Linked DNA regions of Drosophila melanogaster. The protein of the gene in region 3 purifies or fractionates together with the protein of the main gene of each other region. This does not show direct contact. Each region holds a gene or a part of one and is shown on either strand. Other genes may lie near its edges.

Region 1 (4,242 bases), about 16 Mb from region 3:
GCCTATATATTTATATAGCTTTAATATAACCGTCGATTGCCCGAGCACTCGAAATACTTATATAGATGGCTGCCATGCGAACCGGGCGCAGTTCCTTGGCACTTTTTTTTCGGCTGCGAACGCGTTGAAAATCGACGAGAAACTAAATTTAAATTATTTCTGAAAGCTTCAACTACCTACCAGTCGTGCGAGAAAAGTGTTTTCCTCAAGAGAACCGATATTTTGGCGCAGAGAATCGATGAGAGCGATTCGAAAATTATTCAAAAATATTCAAGTCCAAGCCAATTGAAAGTTTCAGCCATAAATCTTTACGGGTATCCATATAATATTACTTTTACACTTCAGGTTCCATATTTATCAAAATTACAAAAATGTATTTGATAGAATTAAAGAAAAAAAACACTGTAACTAATAATAATAATAATTACTTCAATAATATCTATTCAAAAAATTGGTTTTCCTAATTTTCCATATTGATTAATAACCAAATTAAACTTAAACAATACAATAATGAAATTATTTAAAATTTTTTAAACCCCAATATTTTGCCTTTGGAATCTTAAGCTTCTAAAATTATAGTTATTACTGCTGTTTTTTTTTCTCATGGCAGATTCTGTTCAACTTGGTTCATTGTGTAATAAGTTGACTTTTTGAAAATTAACATGACTATATCATAAATCTTCTGCTCGATAACCATTGATAACCATTGTGGCAAATGTTAATTTTAGTGGCTATACTTTATTCATATTTAAACTCCACACAAGTATGTGTGTATATCAAGTTCTGATCAGCCTTACTCGATAAGCAATGAGTCATATCCAATGAATTATTTAACCGCTTCTCTGTTTGGCTGGGATTTAGAATGGCCAAATTTAAAAAGCCTTCTAACAAAAATATTCAAATTCATGGGAGGGGCGCATAATAGATGGGATTCTACTCGTAACATCTTTTGGGAAATAACTTAAGAATTAGTTAGCTTACGGAGTAGCAATCTAAAGCAAAGTTACATCTTATTTAAATACACTACTGAAATACATTTGTATGTTAAATTAAATATGCTCATTCCTTTGGTTATTCCCCGATTTGTATTGGAATTTATTTAGCAAACCATAAAATCGACAGGGTACATTGTACATTACATTTGTGTGGGTGTGAGTGTGTTTACCTCGTTTTAAATAATAAACTTCATTGTTCTCAATGCGTATGGACAATATGTTGAAATTCGTATTATGTATAAATTACTTAGAGATTATCAATCGCTAAGAGCTAATGCAGGTTATGTGGGCCCTCTTCGTGCGCGGCCTGTTTTGTGAGTGGGTGAGTAAATACGATTCAAATGAAGACCAAACGAATCAACAACGTTGCACAGCAGCACCTATCATGTTGCGGGCGCTACTGTCGCCTGATCCTCGACAGATTCGTTAGACGTCGTCGCTGGCGGCGGTGCACTGGTTGTGTTGACTGCAGGTCCGTTATTGTTATCATTCGCCAGCGGCTCTTCCCCCGGCGGCGCCGTCTCCAATGTCACACTTGGTGCTTGTGTTTCACTTTGACTATGCACTGGTGCAGTGTTAAATGAGTTCGTGGTGCCGGCGACTTTAGCCGGTTGCTCCGGACTGCTGTACATCTGGATAACCGAGTTGTTGTTCATGTTTTCCACCGAGGCGCCCGATATGGACAGATCGTCGGCGGAGTCGTCCGCCGTACTGTCCGTTTGCACAGCCTTCTCCTCCAGCAGGTGGTCGCTCTCACGAATCGGTCGCTGCGAGGAGCCGTACTGCTTGGAGATTTGCAGCAGCTCGCGCAGCGTTTCGTTCTCCAGACGCAGCTGGGATATGGTCTGCAGCTCTCGCTGCACGACACCGTCATCTACACTTGCAGCTAGCTGCATCACTGCTGCCATTTCGTTGATCTTCTCGCGCTGCTCCCGGATCACCTGCCACATGCGTTCGTTGTACAGCTCCTTAAAGCTAAACTTGCTATCCAGGACCTTGGAGACGGTGTGCTCGCGATACTTTTGCATCATCAGCTCCATGGCACGCTCGTAGTCCTCAATGAAGATCTTTAGCTCGCGATTCTCTTTGAGTATCTCCGAGCTGTTGATGTTTTGCTGCTGAATGCGATTCACCATGTCCGCGTTGGTCTTGTTGTTCGAAATGCGGTTGAGTGATTCAATGTCGTCCTGATACTGGCGAAGGCTCTCCACCAGCCGATTGTTGTTCTCCGCCTCCTCGAGCAGCGCCGTGCCCAGGGCGTCCAGGTCCTTCACCCGACTGGCCATGCGCTGCGCATCCATTATAATCTGGCCCACGGATAGGTTCGACATCCTGCCCAATTCAGTCCAGTTGCGATTTTTGGATTTGTATTGTTTTCGGGGGCCAGGCCCTCTGCTGCTGGCACTGCGAAAACAAAGGGAACCGCTTAAATTTGTGCACTTTCTGGGGCCTACGAGCAGTGTCTTACGTTCGGTGCGGGTAAGGTGCAGCTTCGTCCCTAGCGTAACAGCTTCATTTGATTTTCCGGCCAAAATATGTAGGAATAGAAACGATTTTAATAGAAATTTTGACGACGACCCAATTATTGGCTGACAGCTTATTAAATCCCAAACGCCATCGGATGTTGCACAAATCCCTAACGCCACTCATTGAATGCGAAAAAATACTGTTTCAACACTTGATATACCGCAAATATACCAAAGATTTAAATTATAATTTTGTTTTTTAACTTTTAGCTTGAGATGTCATTTTTTTGGCTAAATCCTTTATGTTTATGTTAAAAAACTCTTTTAAGGTTAAAAGGTGAAGCTACAAGCTTTATTGTCATTTTTGTATAGGTCATTAAGAAGCTATCAGTACAGATTTTGATCTTATCGCGAAAAATGGAAGACTTAGCGTAGAATGGACATAATGCTATGTTCTTAAACGATCATGCATACATAAATCTAGTTATGTCTATTTAAGTACCTATTTAAGTACAAACAGCAAAGGTTTTGTCATTCAAAGTGGTAGATAAAACAGAGGTAGAGGAATAGCATGGTACATCGGGCGTAGGGATGCACAGACTAAAGATCACGAGATTGCGATTACACGCCAACGCTGTTGAGGCTGCCGGAGGAGAGGTTCTCGGAGCGACTGGACAGACGGGGGCGTTTCATGAGTACACGACCCGGCTTGCCGGGATTTTCGATGGAACCCGCCTCTGCGGATTGATTTAGATTGTTGTTGTTGCCGTTGTTGGAGCCATTGCTGCCGCCAGCACGTTCCAGCGTGCGTTGTGAGCGACGCAGCGAGGAGGAGGACATCCTGCGCAGCGTGGGATCGTAGTCATAGCTCGACGGCCGCTGATAATAGGGCGCATCCTGGTCTGTGTCATTCTTCTCCTCCAGCGCCTGCTGCTGCTGCTGGGCGAGTGGATTCAAGGTTATGTGGATGTGTCGTGTTCGCTGGCGCTGCTTGGTGGGCGAGCAGTTGCCCAGCGGCACAAAGTCATCTCTCAGCTCCGCCATCCGTGGCTTGTTTGGATTGTTTCCCCGGCTTCTGGAATTCCTACGCCGGCAAACACAGAAACAGGTGCTAATCAGAAGCAGAATGAGCACTGCCCCGCCGCCGATTGTTCCCGTCAGCATGGGACTCATATTGAATGTCTCGTTATGACTGGGAGTTGTTGTATCGCGGTCGCCCATTTGCAGTGTTGGCTCCTCTGTGGTGCTGGTTTTGGGACGTTGGGTGCGCCCCTGCTTAAGGGCACTAAATTCGGATGCAGAGGCGGCACTGAAGGACTGCAACTTGAACTCGTACATGGTGGCCGTCTCGAGGGGTGCTATTTTAAAGCTTCTAGCATGGGCTCCTTCAATGGTTGCCTTGAAATATTCCCCTGCCGAGGACGAGGGTCGATAGTAGGCGTAGTAGCCAGTGATCAGGTGTTCATCCGCATCGCTGGCTAGACTCCAGTGCAGCACCACAGCGGTTTCAGAGTATTCCTCGATCTCCAGAAGCTCTGGCACCGGCATCGGATCAAGTGCTGCACCTGGCTGCAGGTAAAATTTCGCCGAGGTATTACTTTCCTTATTGTCATTGTTGGAGTAAACGGCTAGGATGCGGAAACGATAGGTGTGCTGAGGCTTCAGGTCCGTCACCGAAGCCGTGAAGCTCTTGCCCAGCTCGGAGTTCCACTTCGGTTTTCCATACGGTATATTATCGTTGGTTGTCTGCCAGTTCTTGCGCTTGCCAACCATGCGGTACT
Region 2 (4,641 bases), about 15 Mb from region 3:
ATTCACAGCAGTCGGCACTGACACACAAAGAGATTTGCGATGTGCATATGGAAGTATATAAATAGATCCAGGCGGCCGGGCAGGGAACGGATGCTACGACTGCTGAAACAGAGCCATCTCGGATGGCGTCGCCTCTGCCTCTGCTGCCCACCCGAACCAGATTTATTTTGGCCAAAAACGCCAAACAAGGCGAACAGGTTCATAAATCGCGGCGACAAATTTGCGTTGTCAACTTGGTTCCTTTTTTTTTGTGGCCACTTTTCCACATTATGATGATGCAAAGCAGGGGAAGAGACGGATTTGAATGTCACGTTGCATTCAGAGCGTAACGGACTGTGCCTCGTTATCGATACCGCTCGTTATCTGGCCACTTGGCAGGTGAAAGCGATAGAGCGTGGGTCGACATTGACATTGACGATGGCCATGGAGGCGCAGGGTGGCGCAGGTTGGAGGTGGAGTAATCTCCTTCGAAATTACGATAATGTTATCCAACCCGCGGTTACACTCATTTTACATTTTTTGGGGGCTTTCAGGCTTTTTGGCCATTCGTCTGCGACAAACAGAGCATAAACACTCGATGACGGCAATTGCTCAACTCGATTCGCTTGCATGCGGACATGGCGGAGGCAAGGCGGTGTGGTGGCTCCTCCTGGCCGTTTTCCTTGCATGTTCATGCATTAGCGCCTCGGAAAATCATTGAAATGGAAAGTGAGCCACCGCTGTCGATAAGCAAGGACCTTTTAAGCACTCCCTGGGCCTTGCCAAATTGCCTTGCTTTTGGTTGCATAGTATTCTTTCTAGGACAAACAATTTGCAGTTTCATTGGTTCTTTTATACTAAGCACTATACTGTCACTATCTGCACAAAGTTCACGCTATAAAGTTTACTGTAGTCCGTGAGTCCAGTACCTACTTAATCAATAGTGAATAAAATAGTGGAGGATGAGAACTAAATCAATGTTCAAACTAATAATAAGGACATTGTTAAGATCTTAAGCTGATTTTCTGATTCACCTATCTCAAAGTACGAGATTAATCGAATATTAAAGAGGAGCTATTAGCAATTCAGTATTTAAGGATCACTCACCTGCAATTCGGCCCTGTCCACGTCCCACTGTGATCGCTCCAGCTCGAAGCGCGACCACTCGTGCTGGATGAAGTGCAAGATGCCCGGTATTGTGTATTGGGGCGTTGTGGCCTGCTGGTTATTTACACCGCCGCCCACCATCCCGTTTCCGCCGTCGTCGCCGCCAACGTTGCCCATTCCGCCCACATTGGCGTTCTGTCCACCAGCGTTGAGGCCGCTGATGCTCAGACCGCCGCTGCCGCCACCGCCCAGGCTGTTCGACAGGACACCGCCGATCGAGGAATTGGCACCGCCCACACCGCCGCCTACAAGGACGCCGGCTCCTGTTGCACCGCCAACCGGCTTGTTGTTTATGCCAGCGGTGGCTCCCGAATTGGTGCCCATTGGTTCACGTCGCTCTCAGTGGCTGTGCTGTGTGCCAGGTGTTTCCTTTGCCTGCTCCGGTGATCCTTGTGCCCGCTGATCCTGCTCTCCTGATCCTCTCCTGATTCGTTGCCAGCTGTCTGCCTTCAGGTGCCCAGTGCACGGTCCTTTGTTTGTCGCTCTCTCGGACTTGTTTGTTCACTGGTCCTACGCTATATCCTGTTTGGTGTTACGTTTTTTTTTTTTTGCGTTTTTAGGTTGGGAAAGAAAAGCAAAGTTCGGCACATGAAACAAATGAGGTCATTGAATTTTCCGAATAGAAGGGCGACGAGGGTAAAGGGGGGAGCAGTCGCAGGACACTCGCTGGCTGCCTCCCTCTCGTTCGCACTCTCTTTATGTACTACACTACGTTTTCTCGCACCGGAACCGCCCCCACATTCCCCGCTCTCTCACACGCTCACACTCTCTATCTCTCTCTCTTCCTCTTTACGGTACTCGCGATTCTCTCTTTTGCGTTCTAGTGTTGCCAACGGCTTACGGGAAAAGCGTAACTTATAGCACAAAAAGCCGTAAAACAGCTGATGTAACGCAAGAGTTAAAACGTTTATCAATTTAAGCGGTGGATCGGCTGGTAATCACGTCTTGGAAAGGCGATTATTGGTAGGAAAATTAAACTGACACACACACACACACGCACACTCACCCAGCTGCAGGGAAATTTGAATGGCACACACACATACAAACGCACGGCGGGGTTTTTGGTGGGGTTCTTGTTTCTCTTCGTTTTTTTGTGCTTCAATTCTTAAACTCTTCTAAGTGTCCAGCTGAATCTTGAACTGCGTCTTTGTTTTTCTTTGCTGCCTGGGCAGCCGATGCCAACGTACTCGAACCTTATTTAATAACTTTGGCTCGTTAACTTGACAATTTTGTTTACTATTTACAGCTTTTTCCAAGGAAACGTTGTTGCTACCTTTCACAGGGTTTACACTTTTGTGTGCGAAGAGCAAACGACTATTTGGAAGGGAGATGGAGAGAGCGCGAAGCGGGCAGTTGTATTAGTCCGTAATTTTGTGCATAATTGCACCCGCTTGCAATCACTAATTAATTAAGACGAACGCTGGGGCGATGCACACAAAAAGTCGATTTGATTCGGCCGCACATCAGAATGTTTGGCCTGTAACTCTGAAATAACACACAGAGTAGCAGTGACCGCACAGCCTTTTTCCCGCTCGCACTCGCGCACCTGCACCGTCCCGTCTGCCGTCGTGTATGGCCGTCTCGCTCTGCGAGTCTATATACAAAGAAAAACACACACACACTGGCACACTGGTGTTCGCATATGCCAAAGCCGAGTTAATTTCACTTTGTTTAATCTATCGTTTGGTGTTTTTGCATTTTTTAACCGCGCAAACGGTATTTGCGCGTTTTGCGCCTCTTACTTTGCGATTTATTGCACCGCTTGGCTGTGTTTTGCAATTTCTCTCTTAATTTTCATTGGTATTCACGCGTAATGTAATTCTTAGCAGCGTGACCGCGCCGATAACGATAAAAAATACCACGGGACCAAAAATAAATACCATATGATACCACTTCAGGGAAAAGAAATCCTATTTAATACCACTCACTTTAAAAATAAGTTTTTAAAAATATATATTTTTATTTAAAAAAAGTTGTATTTATAATCAAATACTCGGTACTAATTAATTACTCGAGGACAATTAATTTTGACAAAAGGGGTTTCATTATAAAATATATATTAACCGCTTACACATAATCCCCAAACAAAACAGCGATTGGGATTTAAAAGGTTCTAAGTCCATCATTATAAAAGATCATTTCCGAAAAACAAAAAGAAATAGATTTCAAAATTAGGCGACATCAGCCCGCTGATAAAGAAACATCAAAAAGACAGAGGCTTATTTCAGCGAGTCAGAGACTCCTACTCGCCAACAATCGAAAACATAGAGAAGATATAGTCGCCAACCGATCTGCCTTCTATAGTGTTGCTTATTGTTGTCCCCTAATCAAATTAATAAAAATCTGCATTAGGCTGCTTCGCCGGCCAGCAACAAATGTTTTACACCTACTGTACTTTTCGCAGAACAGAGATCCAAATGCAGGATCGTTTCCATGACTGTACATTTATTCGGATTAGACATTAAATTACACCCTACAGCTATACATACTAACAGTGAACACGGCAAATGCTTAGCTAGCATTGGGCCACTTTCGTTGACTGCGAATAAAAATGATTGGCCGATGCCTTTAGCAGATTCCTTTTGATCGAATTACTCGGATGGCTTGTGTGTCCACCTCTTACAAGAACTCCTCGCACCAATCGTTGAGACAGTTGTAGCAATCGGATGCCTGTTTGGAGCTGGCGTGGCACACCTCCTTCATCCAGTCCTTGAACAGCTCCTCGTCCTTTTTCAGCACCAGATACTGTCCCAAAACGGTGTAGGCCTAAAACGAATGGAAATGATCGTTAGCACTTGACTGGCATTGTTTATTTGCGCACATGGCGTCATCGTATTTACACACGCACCATATCGAATCCAGCGTCCTTCAAGCGTCCACCGAGGGTTTCCCCAATTCCGGCCAGTTCCGTCACCGACTTGTTGCCCATTGGCTCCGCAACGAAGTTCCTGTGTTTCTGCGATGTGCCCGACATGTTTGTAGTTTGCTTTGCTGCTGCACGTTGCGAAATTCCAATGCTTAGCTAGATTTCAATGGCAAAATATTCGCGGCGTTTCTGAAAATGACGCACAGCCAGTGTGGCAGCAAGTGATATTTTCGAAAATGCAACAACACATCTAGATATACTAAACAAAATTAGGCAATGTAATAGGCCACGTAATTCTGGCTTTACTCATTTGCGCACCCAACAATTAACAAAGTTTAATTATTCTTTTACATAGCATTGGCAAAAAATAGAGTTTTATAAGATGCACTCAAAAATGTTTCTTTGAAATTGCGGATTACATATTTTTGTAATCTACTTAATCTACTTAGGTCAAATGCCAGCAATATTTTACATGTAAGATGTATGCTTACATGGTTTGATGTATGGTATTTTACATGACCGTTTTAGATTTTGAATACTTAAAGTTTTCTATAAATTTGAAATTTGTTATAATGTTAGTGCATTAAAGTATTGCATTTGTGAAAAATTTACATAGCCATCGCTGAAAA
Region 3 (7,603 bases):
TCTACAAGCTTTTCCTTACTTTCCGCATTAGGGGCTGACAATTTCGTTGCAGCCGAATCCTCTAAAATTGTATGTGTAGTTGAAGAATGGTTTTTAAAGTGATCCACGATTTCGGATGTATTTCTGCTAACGAACTCTGTTGGAACTGAATCGTTTGCCATATCCTCCTCCTCCTTAACTTTGCATTCAAAGGCTTCATCGTCACCATTAAAAATAGCTTTAAGCACTGAAGATCCTTCTTCTCCCTTGCCAAGATCGGAGTTCTTTAGCAATCTTAAGACGTTCGATTTATAATTGCCTTCTTCTAAATCGGGATTACTTAGTTTTAGCTTCTAGAATTAAATAGGAATATATTAATATATAATAGCATTAAGACTGCTATAAGCATTACCCTTTTTTTCGTTTCAGACAACACATTTTTAGCTGGTGACACAGACAAAATATCATCGTCAGAACTTTCATTATCATCCCTTTCATTTAGCGCTCTATCTTGAGCGTGGTCATAATCGTCAAGATTTATTGTATCTAAGTTTTTTAAGACAATTCGCTCCTTCAAATGTTCAGTATCAGACTCAGATAAATCGCGATGGATTCGCGAGACCTGCAGACGAAGCTCCTTAAGCTCGAGCTCCTGCGTCGTCAGCTTTCCATTTAGCACCTCTAAGCTGCGTGATTCTTGCTCTTTAGCCTCTTGTTCTTGGCGCACTGACTCCTTCTTGAATTCCATGTACTCCTGCTGAAGTTCCTCTAACCGGGTATTGAAATCAGTCAGCGTCTGCTTTAGTGTTAGAACTTGAGCGCGAAGTATGCCGCACTCGTTTTCAGAAGTGGCGTAGGCCATCTCCATCTTAGAGAGCATTTGCATAGCATCGCAGCGTTCCTGGTAGACCTTCCGCAGGGCCTCTTTGGCAGTCAACTGGTACGTTGTTTTGTCCTCAAGAAGCTTTACAATCTATTGAAGACAAAGAGAGAAATATTAAAAAAAAAAAATCAAATTTTACCAAAATATACTTAAAATTTTTTGCAGACAAAATTTTAATATTCAAAGGAGCTACTGACCATTAAGTCGGAAAAAGGTCCTCTTCGAGTTTTTTAAACCCATTTATAAGGGTATATTAATTTCTTTCAAAAAGCTAAAAGGTTGAATTTTCGAGCTATAGAATATTTCCTGTATTCGGTACCTTTTTGTTGTTTTGTCTTATTTCACGCACAAGTTTAAAATCGCATATTCGTATGGTCTCAATTTGCTTGCCTATCTGTATTTTTACCGTTCTGTATGAGTTCTTTGTTTTAGAGCCCTAGAGCACATGTATGTACAGTTTGTCAAGAAACTGTTTACACACTGTAAAATAAGTTGACTTTTTGACTTTAAAGCTAAAAATAAAGGGTTTTTTGCTTAATTAAACGCAATTTTTTTATAAAATATTATTAAACAATATTTATTTTACTTATAAATCAAAAAACAAATTAAAAATATTAAATATACAAGAAAATAAACAACAAATTCCAAGTTTACACACTTTTGAGACTGTCAAGAAACTCTTTACACAAAACACTAAATCGAAGTTTAATCCTAAATTTTTTAATTATTTTATTAAAATTTTAAAAGTTTTGGTATGTAGTATGTTCCCCATTGGCTTTAGCTACAAGTTGAAGCCTTTTTTTCATGGATTGGACAAGTTTTTGCAGGTCATATTCAAACGGGATCTTTTCACACTCTTCGACTATTACAGTCATAAGCTGTTGTTGTGTTTTAGGTCCCTTTTTGCCACCTTCTTCTTTAAGTAGGTCCACAAATTTTCAATGGGGTTCAGATCAGGACTCTGAGGGGGCGTATCGATCACTTTACCACAGTTATTAAGGCGCCAGGTGCGTACATTGCACTCTTTATGTTTCTGATCATGTCTTGGTAAAACTTAAAATTTGGCTTGTTGTTGCTAACCAGACTAATTTTTTCTACACTGGCCTTCAAATTTGTTTTCTAACATTTCTAGATATTGCACGGCATTTATTGTGCTCTCAATTAAGGCTAGTTTTCCCACTCCACGGCTGGTGATACAGCCCCACACCATCAGTGACATTTTTCCAAATTTTATCGTTGGAATGATATTTTGTTTTTCTAGCGCACTCAACGGTTTGCGCCATACTCTGCTTGGCCCGTCGTTATAAAAGAGCATCATTTTTGTTTCGTCACCAAATATGACGTCATCCCAGTACTCTTCCGCATGATCTATCATGCTCACAGCGAATAAATGACGCTTTTCAATATTGGCATCTGACAGCAAAGGGTTTTTCCTTGCAACTCTTGAAGAGTACCTATGGCGTAGGATGACTTGGAGCACAGTTTCGTGTGACACAGCTAGGTGACATTCTTGCCTGATATCCAGAGCAAGTGATCTGACCGAGATTCGGGGGTTCGCAATCACTATTCGCATAATAAAGCGGTCTACACGCTTTTTAATTTTAATTTTCCGCCCACCACCACTCTTAGGTTCAAGCCTGCCCTCTTTTTCCGAGCCTTTTAAAACATTGTAGACGGTCTTACGGGATACAGGAAACATTTATACTAATTCTGGAAAAGATTTTCCCAACTGGTGGTTATAGTTTATTAATTGGGTAACTTTAAAAGTTAATCTCTTTCCAGGCATTTTATTAAATTTAATAATTCGCTTTAAGCACGTTTGATCAGCAAAATTTCACAAGCAAAGTCAACAAAATTTCAATAGAAGCGTTGTAAAAAGCAATGCAAAGCCAAAAATAACGGAAAAATCGAGTTCGTTCTAAGAAAAAGAACAAAACAAAGTAGGAAAACAAAATGTGTAAAGAGTTTCTTGACAGTCTCAAAAGTGTGTAAACTTGGAATTTGTTGTTTATTTTCTTGTATATTTAATATTTTTAATTTGTTTTTTGATTTATAAGTAAAATAAATATTGTTTAATTATATTTTATAAAAAAATTGCGTTTAATTAAGCAAAAAACCCTTTATTTTTAGCTTTAAAGTCAAAAATTCAACTTATTTCACAGTGTGTAAACAGTTTCTTGACAAACTGTATATACATTAGAATATAACTCTTTTAATTCTGTAAATTAGAAAGTGTGGGGTGGGAAACAGCTTTTGGTATCAAATAGGAGTCCCTTATTTTGTACAAAAATAATAGCAATGATCTGTTCGTATCAAATGTGAGGATTGGGTCAGCAAAGCACAATTTGTTTAAGGATTTATTTTTTCTGTTATATAAAAACTGAGAAAAAAAGAGAAAATATACTTTAACCTAAAAATTAGAAACAAATAAAAAGTAACGTTTACAAAATATGTATAACAAATTACTCCACTGGCACCAATCGGTGGCACCAAAATACCATTTGCTCACAATTAAAATACAATACACCTTATACAAATGATTATAATTAATGCGTATTCAAATAATAAAAATGAAGGAATCAATGAATGAATAACAAAATGAAACTCTAAAGCCATTATATACTGCTTTGTTTTAAAGGCACAACCACTAGATATAATTTGATGGGACCGAATTAAATTGCTTAGATTCAGATTTGCTTAATTTTTGTGCATTAAACATTTTGATTATGTTTGTAGTTAAGACAATTCATTATAAGATTTGGTTCAATTTATTTTATCTTGTCCGGTTTGGGAAACAGATTTATTAAAAATTTGCATATTGAAATCTTTAAATTAAAAGGAAAACACAAGTGTGCAAAAATGGTTTTTTAGAGATTCCGTTATACAGGCTAACGGAAAGGTGTGTACGTATTTATGAACAAACTTTTTTAATTGTTCGTGTGAAAGGTTTTTGAGGTTTTGCTTAGTTTCATGCTTAATACCAGTATTCTTGCTTTCATAGTTGTCCAGGATCACAGGATAAAATTGTAAAAAATAAACAAAGGCTTAATTTTTTAATCGGTCGCTAATGGGACTTACCTCGTTTCGCAGTGCATTCTCTGGAATGTTCTTTTCCATCATTTGCAGTTTCTTTTCCAGAATATTTATCTTGTGAAGCAATTGGTCTTCAGTGATCATGCTTTGCCAACACATCGCAGAGTTCTTTCTGGTGTTATCAAGGACGCCTTGCAAGCTGCTTAATTTAGCTTTCAGAGATTTTTCCCTTTGTGCAGCCTCTTGGAGGAACGAGCTTAGGCGCTGCACTTCATCAAAGCTGATTCGGTTAGGCACAGTCAACATCATCTGCTCTGCCTCAACTGAAATGGCCTCTTGTCCATTGGGTAGAAAGAGGGCGACACGGGCCAGGATACACCCGTGTACCTCCTGACGTGAATTCTCAATTACCTCAACGCCGAACTTCACAATATCGCCATAATGTAGTTCCGCTGGATCACTACCCAACTTGTTGTCGTTAATAAAGGTACCGTTGCTGGATTTTGTGTCTTTGACCCAGAATTTACCGTCTGGAGTGTACCACAAAATCGCATGGTTTCTTGACAATACTTTACAGTCAAATATAGCGTTCCCCTCACCCGCCTTACTTTTAGCTATAAGGCGGCCCACCTTGCAATCCTGGTTGGGCTGCAGCAATATAGATCTCGTTTCAAACTTGTGCGACTTTGGTTCACATAGGAGTACGATTTTTGCTGCACCCTTACATGGCGTTGGGGCAGACTCCAATCCTATGTCTAGATCTACGCCAGAAGTTGGGGGCACTGAAGAGACTTGTAAAGTGCCGCATTCCGATGCCACCTCCCTTTGTAAAGCACTATTGTTTAGTACTCCTAGTGGGCTAAACAGACTGCAGGCAGTAGTTACTCGAACTCCAACCCCGGTGTTATTTGCATTCAGCACAGAGTTCATGGCCATATTCATAGCATGCTGGGAAACTTCAGCCGGACGTCGGTCAATACATACTGTGTTGGAATCACAAAGTTCCATATTATTATTTTCCTGGTTCTTCGTGGACGCCTCGTTGTTACTATCAGCCATATCTTCTTTTATGTCCATTATATGAAAGAAATTGTCCTGCTCCAAATTTTTTTCAGTTTCCATGTTTAAAGCGTATTGCGCCTCCTCTGGCTTCACAGCAGGTTCTTCCCCGGATGGATATCTGGTCGTCTGAGGTAATTCCGTGGCCGTGTCGGTTGTGCCAGTTCTGTTTAATGCCGTTGATCCGACTGCTCCTGATGCTGGCGTCGGCGATAATGAACTTGACGTCTGGTCTTCATCAACATTATTTTTTAACCACTCATTGCACACCAAGACCATTACTTTACATCCAAACAAACCTTTGGGGATACGAGAACAAAAGCGGATTAACAAGTTAGTAATTAGTAATACACGAGTGGCTGCTGTTTGACAAATCCGACTAGCCGAAACATTGACAATGAATCCAAATTTTAAAGGCCTGCTTTAATTTAATGTAACTATAAAATTTGTCTTTTCCCGATGAAAATTTGAAAAGGTTTCCGACCACATAAGATATACACACATATGTAAATGCATACATACATACATACATACATACAGAATGAATTTGCATTTGATACAAAAATATGTACGTTCAATAGCAATGTTTTCAAGAATTATTGTAAACAAAAAACTATGCCATTAGTTGGTCATTCTTATGAATTAAGCAATTTTCGAGTTAAGGATGTGCCGATTAATTACGACAACTTAAACCAGGCATTAAAAATGTTTGGAACGGTTGGAAATTGTTTACTTTTTTGATTTAAAAATAAATTATATGGTACGGGGAGGACCGCTTAAGTTCAAGAACATTAAATTCGCAATAATATAAATGTTTGATATTGCGCAACGTTTTTACCTTTATTTTACAATGCACGCTTGGCTTACCTTGGAATTTTGTAATTTTCCTGTATTAATTGTTGCAACCTTCTACCCGTGTTTTTTAGTTTTCTTTAACTTTGAACAATTGTTGTACAAAAACACCTGGTTTCGCGGTAAATTTGTGTGCATACTTAAAATATTTCCGTCAAAATAGCGACAATCAACTGGTGATGAACACGGAACGATGAAAAAAGCGCTAAGCATTATTGTATATAATAATATACAATATACCAGTTTATATACCATATACCAGTTTCTATGTTGACATGCAACGATAGAACCATTCCATTCTGCAATTTCATTTCCAATAAATACAAACAATAATTTTCTAAAATTTTTATAAGAAATAAGATTTAAGAATTTTAAAATGTTTTAGAGCAATGTCGTATGCTAGAAAGGTTAAGAGTATGTTTGTAGTCGGCATACAAATGTTCTGCAATTACATTTCCAATAAAAAGAAACAAATAATTTTCTAAAATTGTTATAATAAGAAAGGAGATTTCGGAATTTTAAAATGTTTTAGAGCAATGTCGTATGCTAGAAAGGTTAAGGGTATGTTTGTAGTCGGCATAAAAATGTGTTTCCGAACCTTAAAGTATAGTGTACTCCTGATCATAAACACTATTCGATCAGGTCCGGTCTGTCTGACTGAAGGCTGTGATCTCGCAAACTACAAAATAGAGCTGGAAGAAACATCGGAGATAGCGCTACATAGATATTTAAAAAAAAATCGGAAACATCGAAATTTTCGGACATCGATGTTAGATTTTTCTGTTTTACCCATCACCATTTGCAGGGAAAGATCTTGCTAAGCTAATCGGCTAATGGCAAGACAGACAAATGTATTAAGTGGGGCAAGACACCAAACAAGTGCGAATAATACTAACTTGTCTTGCCACGTAATGAGGATACATATTAATTTAACAGTCAGTGAATTGCCACAAAGGCAACAGCAGTCAATTCTGTCATTTATTGACAAAATAATGAAACGTTGACGAATCGAAAACAAGTGCTCTACGCTACTACATTGGCTCAGACTTGCGCGGATTCGGATTTCGACGAAACAACTTATTTTTCTGAAAACATTGCAAACTTAATCCGCACAGTAATTGATGAACGCCCATATAGTTTGAAACAATAGAAATAGGTTATAGAAAATAAAATATATATGTATAGAAAATCCAGTTGGAATGGCGCGTTTTACCTGCTGAAACGATTTTTGATTACAAAGGTTGCTATCGCAACTGTTCTACTGAACCAAAGTCTCTAGAATAATAAAGAATTATTGTAGTGTCTTTGACTGAACACTCTCAAAGGGTTGGTTATTGCCGTAAATATCGAATAAAATATTCATTTTCGAGGATTTGAAGGCAATACTTTAACCTTTAGAGCATGCAACGGTTAAAGTTTACAAATTGTTCAAAATTGTGGGCGTGACCGGGTTGACGGCTTTTGGTCGTTAGAGTAGGCGTGTAAAAAGTTTTTGGCATATCGATATAAATTTTAGCGACTAATAGAATTATGAAAAAAATATCGAAAAAAGGTTTAAAAATGTGTGTTTTGCGCGGCATTTTTGGGAGGTTTTAGGGCGTTAGAGTGGGGCTGGCAGGTTTGTGTGCGTGGCAACATGGGTCAACCAACTTGCGCTGCGTCTTTTTCTGTGTTCTAGCTTTTTAAAATTCCTGGGATCTCGACGTTCATACGGAGAGAGGCCAGATAGACTCGGCTATTGATCCTGATCTAGAATATTTACACTTTATATGGTCGGAAACGCTTCCTTCTGCCTGA

Evidence for each region. The genes of interacting proteins can lie anywhere in the genome.
Region 1: the proteins of Slmap (region 3) and Fgop2 purify together in Drosophila melanogaster (affinity purification with western blotting; 3 studies listed by BioGRID, with this or other methods). This does not show direct contact.
Region 2: the proteins of Slmap (region 3) and Cka purify together in Drosophila melanogaster (affinity purification with western blotting, with the first as the bait; one study listed by BioGRID). This does not show direct contact.

Annotation. Positions count from the first base shown.
Region 1 is NT_033779.5:6,942,671-6,946,912, forward strand, and holds Fgop2 (fibroblast growth factor receptor 1 oncogene partner 2), read right to left. Parts: upstream 2,620-4,242; 5' UTR 2,464-2,619; intron 2,400-2,463; 5' UTR 2,327-2,399; coding exon 1,379-2,326; 3' UTR 508-1,378; downstream 1-507. Other genes in the region: ihog (interference hedgehog), read right to left, coding at 3,083-4,242.
Region 2 is NT_033779.5:8,029,087-8,033,727, reverse strand, and holds the start of Cka (connector of kinase to AP-1), read right to left. Parts: upstream 3,008-4,641; 5' UTR 2,889-3,007; exon of another isoform or gene 2,153-2,888; intron 1,669-2,152; 5' UTR 1,471-1,668; coding exon 1,087-1,470; intron 1-1,086. Other genes in the region: baf (barrier to autointegration factor), read right to left, coding at 3,766-3,912, 3,995-4,120.
Region 3 is NT_033779.5:22,577,471-22,585,073, reverse strand, and holds the start of Slmap (sarcolemma associated protein), read right to left. Parts: upstream 6,003-7,603; 5' UTR 5,822-6,002; intron 5,325-5,821; exon of another isoform or gene 5,254-5,324; 5' UTR 5,234-5,253; coding exon 3,941-5,233; intron 953-3,940; coding exon 392-952; intron 333-391; coding exon 1-332.